Linked DNA regions of Macaca mulatta. Each later gene encodes a partner of the first gene's protein in a complex. Links are inferred from orthologs where the notes say so. Each region holds a gene or a part of one and is shown on either strand. Other genes may lie near its edges.

What was found.
Region 2: HEATR3 (region 1) and RPF2 share a complex: the UniProt entries of both Homo sapiens proteins name them as parts of the hexameric 5S RNP precursor complex. The link is inferred for Macaca mulatta from reciprocal best matches to the Homo sapiens genes HEATR3 and RPF2.

Annotation. Positions count from the first base shown.
Region 1 is NC_133425.1:45,548,581-45,552,399, reverse strand, and holds part of HEATR3 (HEAT repeat-containing protein 3), read right to left. Parts: intron 2,406-3,819; coding exon 2,229-2,405; intron 260-2,228; coding exon of another isoform or gene 194-259; exon of another isoform or gene 1-193. UniProt on the Homo sapiens protein: Plays a role in ribosome biogenesis and in nuclear import of the 60S ribosomal protein L5/large ribosomal subunit protein uL18 (RPL5). Required for proper erythrocyte maturation.
Region 2 is NC_133409.1:16,098,635-16,102,453, forward strand, and holds part of RPF2 (ribosome production factor 2 homolog), read left to right. Parts: intron 1-634; coding exon 635-737; intron 738-3,819. UniProt on the Homo sapiens protein: Involved in ribosomal large subunit assembly. May regulate the localization of the 5S RNP/5S ribonucleoprotein particle to the nucleolus.

The DNA.
Region 1 (3,819 bases):
TAAACTATGAATTGGGAAAATAACCCCTAACCTCTGAAAGGTCTGCTGTTCAGACTGATTTTCCTAATTAGTATGCATTGATATGGTAATAATATTTAATTATTTTTCTTCTCTCAAAGGTATAAAGCCTTAATTAAATTCCTTTGTTAGGCTGGGTGCAGACTCATGCCCGTAATCCCAGCAGTTTGGGAGGTCAAGGCGGGTGGATTGCTTGAGTCCAAGAGTTCGAGACCAGCCTGGGCAACACGTGAGTCCCCATCTTAAAAAAAAGAAAAAATTCCTTTGTTAGCCAGAGGTTAGTCTGTAGTGTTTTGTTTTTTTTTGTTTTGGGAACAGGGTCTCTCTCTGTCACCCAGGCCAGAGAGCCATGGTGCAGTCATGGGTCACTGCAGCCTCAACCTCCTGAACGCAAGTGATCCTCCTGCCTCAGCCACCACAGTAGCTAGGACTACAAGCGGCGCACTACCATGCTGGAGTAATTTTTTAAAATTTTTAGTAGAGGTGGGGTCTCACTATGTTGCCCAGGCTGGTCTTGAACTCCTGGGCTCAAGCGATCCTACCACCTTGGCCTTTAATAGTGCTGGGATTACTGGTGTGAGCCACCATGCCCAGCACTGGTTTTGTTTGTTTTTAGTAGAGATGGGTCTTGCTTTGTCACCTAGGCTGGAGTACAGTGCTGCAATCTCAGCTCACTGCAGCCTCCAACTCCTAGGCTCAAGCGATCCTTCTGCTCAGCCTCCTGAGTAGCTGGGACGACAGGCATAAGTCACCACTTAATGGCTAACTTTAAAAATTTTTTTGTAGAGACAAGTTCTTGCTATGTTTCCCAGGCTGGTCTTGAAATTCTGGACTCAAGTGATCCTCCTGTCTGGGGCTCCCAAAGTGCTGGGATTACAGGTGTGAGCCACTGCACCTGGCCTGTGGTTTTTTATAACAATTGTATGGAATCTGAGTTTGATCTCACCTCTAGTCTAGAGCAGTGGCTCTCAGGTTTCAGTGTGCAACAGCATCACCTGGAAGGCTTGTTAAAAAACAGACTGGTAGACCCATCCATAGAGTCTGTGACTCAGTAGGTCTGGAGTTGGGGCCAAGGACCTGCATTTTGAACAAGTTACCAGACAGGGCTGATGCTGCTGATACAAGGAGGGCACTTTTGAGAAACACTGCTCAAGAGAAGTTCTTGATTGTACATAAATGCATTTTGTAGCTAAATATACACTGAACAGCCTTTAATACAAATTGTGGCTTCATTTCGCAAAAAAAAGTTTCATATAAATAACTACAGGCTAGCTTCTGGCTAGTAAGAAATCTCATTAGAGCTTTATACCTTTGATAAAAGAAAAACAAATGTTATTACCACAGCAATACATACTGAGTAGGAAAATCAATCAGCACAAAGACCTTTCAGAAGTCGGGGGTTATTTTCCCAGTTCACTGTTTATCTAACCTTTTCTAAGCACCTGCTTCTGCAGAGTTTGATGACTCTTAACTATTAATATATCTGCTTTCCTTAAAGTTGCAGGGAAATAGGGGATATTTTTTCCTTATCTTGCAAGCTCTTTATCCAGAAATTTAAAGGACTGTAACCTTTAAAAACAATATGGTTAGGCATGGAGGCTCACACCTGTAATCCCAGCACTTTGGGAGGCCAAGGTTGGGGAACACCTGAGGTTGGGAGTTCGAGAGCAGCCTGGATGACAAGGCGAAACCCCGTTTCTACTAAAAATACAAAAATTAGTTGGGTGATGTGGTGGACACCTGTAATCCCAGCTACATGGGAGGCTGAGGCCCAAGAATCACTTGAACCGAGGAAGGAGAGGTTGCAGTGAGCCAAGATTGCGCTACTGCACTCCAGCCTGGGCAACAGGGCAAGATTCTGTCTCAAAAACACACAAAAGTAAAATTAAATAAATGCAAAATGTGTATGAAAGTGCTTTACAAAATACAGAGTATAACACTGACATATATGAAGCATTGTCAAAATTACTGAACTGTTAAAAAAAGAAGAACTTGTCAGATACCATTTTGGCTTCAGTTTCAGTGATTCAATAGTCACACTGTTGAGCTATGACTCAGTCAATAAACATTTTACAAAGTACTGGGGATGCTGTGCTACGTATGGGGATTTGTCATGCACATGCTTCTGAATTGCACAGCGGTAACTACACCCACCCTCGTCCCCACAGAATGTTCAGACTTACGCATTTATAAGTTAAATGGCTACAAACCTTCATTTTAAAGACCGGCTGGAATTCTTTCAGAGCAGATAATAATTTAATTTGAATCGAGGCTCTTTCGGCTTCTTTACCATCTGCAAAAACATCAAAGAGGGCATCCAAAGCTTCTCCTGCTACCACAAGGGAAGGATCTTTGGTGGTAACCTCAAGCAGAAAGCACCCAATATTCTGGAAACAACAAAACACATTTAATATGACTAACACCAGTCTCCAAAACAAGTACTAACTTTGAATGTGGCAATAACTCATGCATACTATTTTATATACAAATGCCAGGGAAAAATTAAAATTTTAAGAGATCAGACTTAAATACTTATAAACATACCAAGTATAAGCAAGATAAATTAAACATATTATAGTTTATATTCATAAAGTGAATTAAAAACCATAAATGATGTATGATTTAGGAAATCACTAAACTTTCCTCTCTACCTCTCTCAAAAGGCTTGCTCTATGATGTCAAGATGCATAGAAATCTTATCTGTAACAACGACAACAAAAAATCTGCTTTTAAAAGCATAAGAAAAACACTTTACGGCCGGGCGCGGTGGCTCACGCCTGTAATCCCAGCACTTTTGGAGGCCGAGGCGGGCGGATCACAAGGTCAGGAGATCGAGACCACGGTGAAACCTCGTCTCTACTAAAAATACAAAAAATTAGCCGGGCGCGGTTGTGGGCGCCTGTAGTCCCAGCTACTCGGGAGGCTGAGGCAGGAGAATGGCGTGAACCCGGGAGGCGGAGCTTGCAGTGAGCCGAGATCGCGCCACTGCACTCCAGCCTGGGCGACAGAGCGAGACTCCGTCTCAAAAAAAAAAAAAAAAAAAAAGAAAAACACTTTAGGGCCAGTCGCAAGTGGCTCACACTTGTAAGTTCAGCACTTTGTGAGGCCAAGGCAGGAGGATCACTTGAGCCCAGGAGTTCGAGACCAGCCTCAGCAATGGAGCAAGACTTCATCTCTAAAAAATGTAAAATAGGACTGATCTGAATCTAAACTAGTCTGTAGATCTAACTGTCAGTGTGCAGGACATAAAAGGATAAAACAACAAATTTAACACCACAAGGTAGCAATCAGATAAATCCAGAAGGCTGGACACCATATAGGACAATTGATTCAGGAGCTGAGAATAACCAGGTGGTGCCGGGGAGGAATTGTTCAAGATTAAGAGAGAAGGAGAAGACCCCACAAGAAACATAACATGTGGACTTCATCAATGTAAACAAGCTCTCTGTAAACAGATAATTTTGAGGCAACTGTAAAATTATGAATATGGACCGGAATTAGACACACTAAGAAATAACTGTTGCTGGGTGCAGTGGCTCATGCCTGTAATCCCAGCACTCTGGGAGGCTGAAGGGGGCAGATGGCTTGAGCCCAGGAGTTCAAGACCAGCCTGGCCAACATGGCAATAACCCACCTCTATTAAAAATAGAAAAATTAGTCAGGTGTGGTAGGGGGCACCTGTAATCCCAGCTACTCGGGAGGCTGAGGCAGAAGAATTGCTTGAACCCAGAGGAGGAGGTTGCAGTGAGCCGAGATCGCACTACTGCACTCCAGCCTGGGTGACAGAGTGAGATTCCATCT
Region 2 (3,819 bases), on another chromosome or scaffold:
AAGGAAACTTTATGTCCCTGTCATAAATGGAGAATGGTACATGATAAAATAAATATGTAGTAAATTATATCTGGCTTTGTATCATTAAAATGCTCGCATGTGCCACCAGTGGTATGATTACCACTTTGTGAGAAAAAAGCCTATCCCTGATATCCAAGTTTCTTTTCTGGCATTAACAGTTTATAAAGTTTCTTATCCTTTGCTTATATAATCAAAATTTCTTCTTAGAATTTTTTTCTTGTTGACCTCCCTCATAGAAAAAAAAATTGAAGCTAATTTGATTTTAATAGTCAGTTTGAACAATCATTTTTACAGAAATTTGCTACCTTCATCTACCTATAGGTTAAAATTTTATGCTTTGATTTACATTTTTTTAATGGATATGATTTTTTGTTGCCGAGCTGACTCAGAGGAAGAACTTCAAAACTGAAACATTAAATGTCTCAGTGAACTGAACACAGAAATAAAGTCATGAGATTAAATGCTTAAGGGGTGAGACCTTCAGACATTTTTCAGGAATCGTTTTTTGTGCTTTTTTAGATAAGTATTAGAACAAAACTGTTTAGAATGCAGTTGTAACTGAATTTTGCAAGTATTTGTTTTGTTTTGTTAACAATTTAATATGTGCTTTTAGATTTCTTCAGAGGCCCCACAGTATCAAATATCCGCCTGGCTGGATTAGAGTATGTTCTGCACTTCACTGCACTGAATGGGAAGATTTACTTTCGAAGCTATAAGTAAGAGCATTTCTTCGCATATTTTCTTAATCCTCAGGGTTAGCGTTTAAAACTGTGTGACTGTTTTATAGAGCCCAAACTTAGAATTGGTATCTGGCCAAAAGGTGTTTTGGAGAGTTGGCGGGATAGCAGTGGCACCAGCTTTCTGCTGATCCTCAGTCCTTTGCCTCCGAAACCCTACTTTTCCAGTGCCCCAGAGCATCTGATACTGCAGTGTCACTGAGCCAGGTGCACCAGCTCTTCCTAGCTTTATGCAGCATCTCTTTATTGTTCTTGGTTGGATTCGCAGCACTAAGCCACAAATCCTTGGCCAGCCGAAGCAAATCTCAAAACCCTAAGTCTAAACAATTGAGTCTAAAAGGAATAAGAAGATTCAGTGGCTAGATTCATTTCACCCTGTCTCTCTAGCCTAGGCCTTCTACCCCTACCACAGTATAACTATATTATAACTTAAGCAGGCTGAGCATGGTGGCTCACACCTGTAATCCCAGCACTTTGAGAGGCCGAGGCAGGCAGATCACTCAAGCCCAGGAGTTCAAGAGCAGCCTGGCTGACATGACAAAACCCTATCTCTACTAAAAAAATATAAAAATTAGCCCAGCGTGGTGGCACATGCCTGTAGTTCCAGCTGCTCAGGAGGCTGAGGCACAAAAATCGCTTGAACCCGGGAGGTGCAAGTTGCAGTGAGCCATGATTGTGCCACTGCACTCCAGCCTGGGCAACAAAGTGAGAGCCCTGTCTCAAAAAAAAAAAAACAAAAAAATAACCTCTTAAGCAGATTCTATGTTTATTAAAGAATTAATGACATGCTGTAATTGTGGTTCTTGAGGTAAGTGTGTGACTTCTCTTTTTTAAGGCGTTGGTACTGGCTGACAGAGCACACAGTTTCCTAAAGAATACACTGACTCCCACAAATTGCCTTTCTCTGTACATTGAGTTTAGACTTTGCTGTACATTTTGAGCTATGGTGTGGCTGGCGCCGCAGCCTGAGAGCTGACAGCTTGGTGTTGACAGTGTCTTCCGTCCAGTCGTGCTGGTTGTGCAGCCATTTGTATCTAGCATTTCGTGCATGGTTTTTGTTTTCCTTCACAATGAAATACATGACTGATGTCCAATGAAATGTCCAAATGAAACTTATATATTCACCTCTTGTCAGCTAGTAATTTCCATCTTGGGCTCAACCGTATTAAATCAGAGACACTTAGTTTTCTCCATATGATTAATACAACCACTTCTGTTTTTCTATTTTCCTCTCACTAAAAATAAAATAATAAGGCAAAATGCAATAAAATACCCAATGATCATAAGATGTAGTTAGTGACTTTATAATTTTTAGCTAGTTAAGATCGAAAGCCCTAAGTCTCCTGTTTGAGTTTCCATATGTGATCTGGGGGCTTCTAAGTATATATTATACTATACAGTAGATGACTGTTATTTAGAGAACAAGAAATAAAAGATGAAAAATCACTAATATAAAAAGGTACTCAGGCCGGACATGGTGGCTCACGCCTGTAATCCCAGAACTTTGGGAGGCCGAGGTGGGTGGATTGCTTGAGGCCAGGAGTTCAAGACCAGCCTGGCCAACACAGCAAAACCCATCTCTACTAAAAATACAAAAATTAGCTGGACATGGTGGCACACGCCTGTCCTCCCAGCTACTTAGGAGGCTGAGGCAGGACAATTGAGCCCAGGACGCAGAGGTTGCAGAGAGTGGGCGGATCACTTGAGATGAGGAGTTCAAGACCAGCCTGGCCAACATGGAGAAACCCCGTCTCTATTAAAAAATACAAAAATTAAGTGGGTATGGTGTCACACGCCTGTAACCCCAGCTACTCAGGAGTCTGTGGCACAAGAATTGCTTGAGCCTGGGCCACACGCCTATAATCCCGGCTACTTGGGCGGCTGTGGCACGAGAATTGCTTCAACTTGGAAGGCAGAGGTTGCAATGAGCTGAGATCATGCCAGTGCACTCCAGTCTAGGCGACACAGTAAGACTGTCTGAAAAAAAAACAAAACCTTATGTTGGCTGGACACCTGTCATCCCAGCACTTGGGAGGCCTAGGCGGGTGGATCACCTGAGGTCAAGAGTTCCAGACCAGCCTGGCCAACATGGCAAAATACCGTCTCTACTAAAGATACAAAAATTAGTCGGGCATGGTGGTAGACTCCTGTAATCCCAGCTACTCGGGAGGCTGAGGCTGGAGAATTGCTTGAACCTGGAAGACAGAGGTTGCAGTGAGCTGGATCACGGCATTGCACTCCAGCCTGGACAACAAGAGTGAAAGAAACTCCATCTCAGATAAAAAATAATAAAATAAAAATTGTATAAAATTACCTTCAAGCTATGTGTATAAACTGTATATGAAGCATAAATGAATTTTGTGTTTGGACTTGGGTCTCATCCCCAAGATATCTCATTATGTGTATGCAAGTATTTCAAAATCTGAAAAAAAAACAGAAATCTGGAACACTTTTCTTTCTTTGTTTTTTTTTTTTTTTTTTTGAGACTGAGTCTCACTCTGTTGCCCAGGCTGGAATGCAGTGACGCAATCTCAGCTCACTGCAGCCTCTGCCTCCCGGGTTCATGCCATTCTCCTGCCTCAGCCTCCCAAGTAGCTGGAACTACTGGTGCCTGCCACCATGCCTGGCTAATTTTTTGTATTTTTAGTAGAGACGGGGTTTCACCATGTTAGGATGGTCTCGATCTCCTGACCTCATGATCCACCCGCCTTGGCCTTGCAAAGTGCTGAGATTACAGGCGTGAGCCACTGCGCCCGGCCTGGAACACTTCTTTTTTTGAGACAGGATCTTGCTATTGCCCAGGCTGGAGTGCAGTGGCATAATCTCAGCTCACTGCAACCTCTGTCTCCCGCATTCAAGCGATTCTCCTGCCTTAGGTGGATATGTATGCCCTCTGTGTTAAACATAGAGGGGATACAAGGGAGATAAAAATATAACAATAAACAATTGTTGAGAATAAGAAATGAATAATAACAGTAGCCTAAAACTATTCTGTGTTGAACAGTTTCATAGAAAGTATTCGCTTGTATTTAGTGAAAAGGATTTATTTATTTAGTGAAAA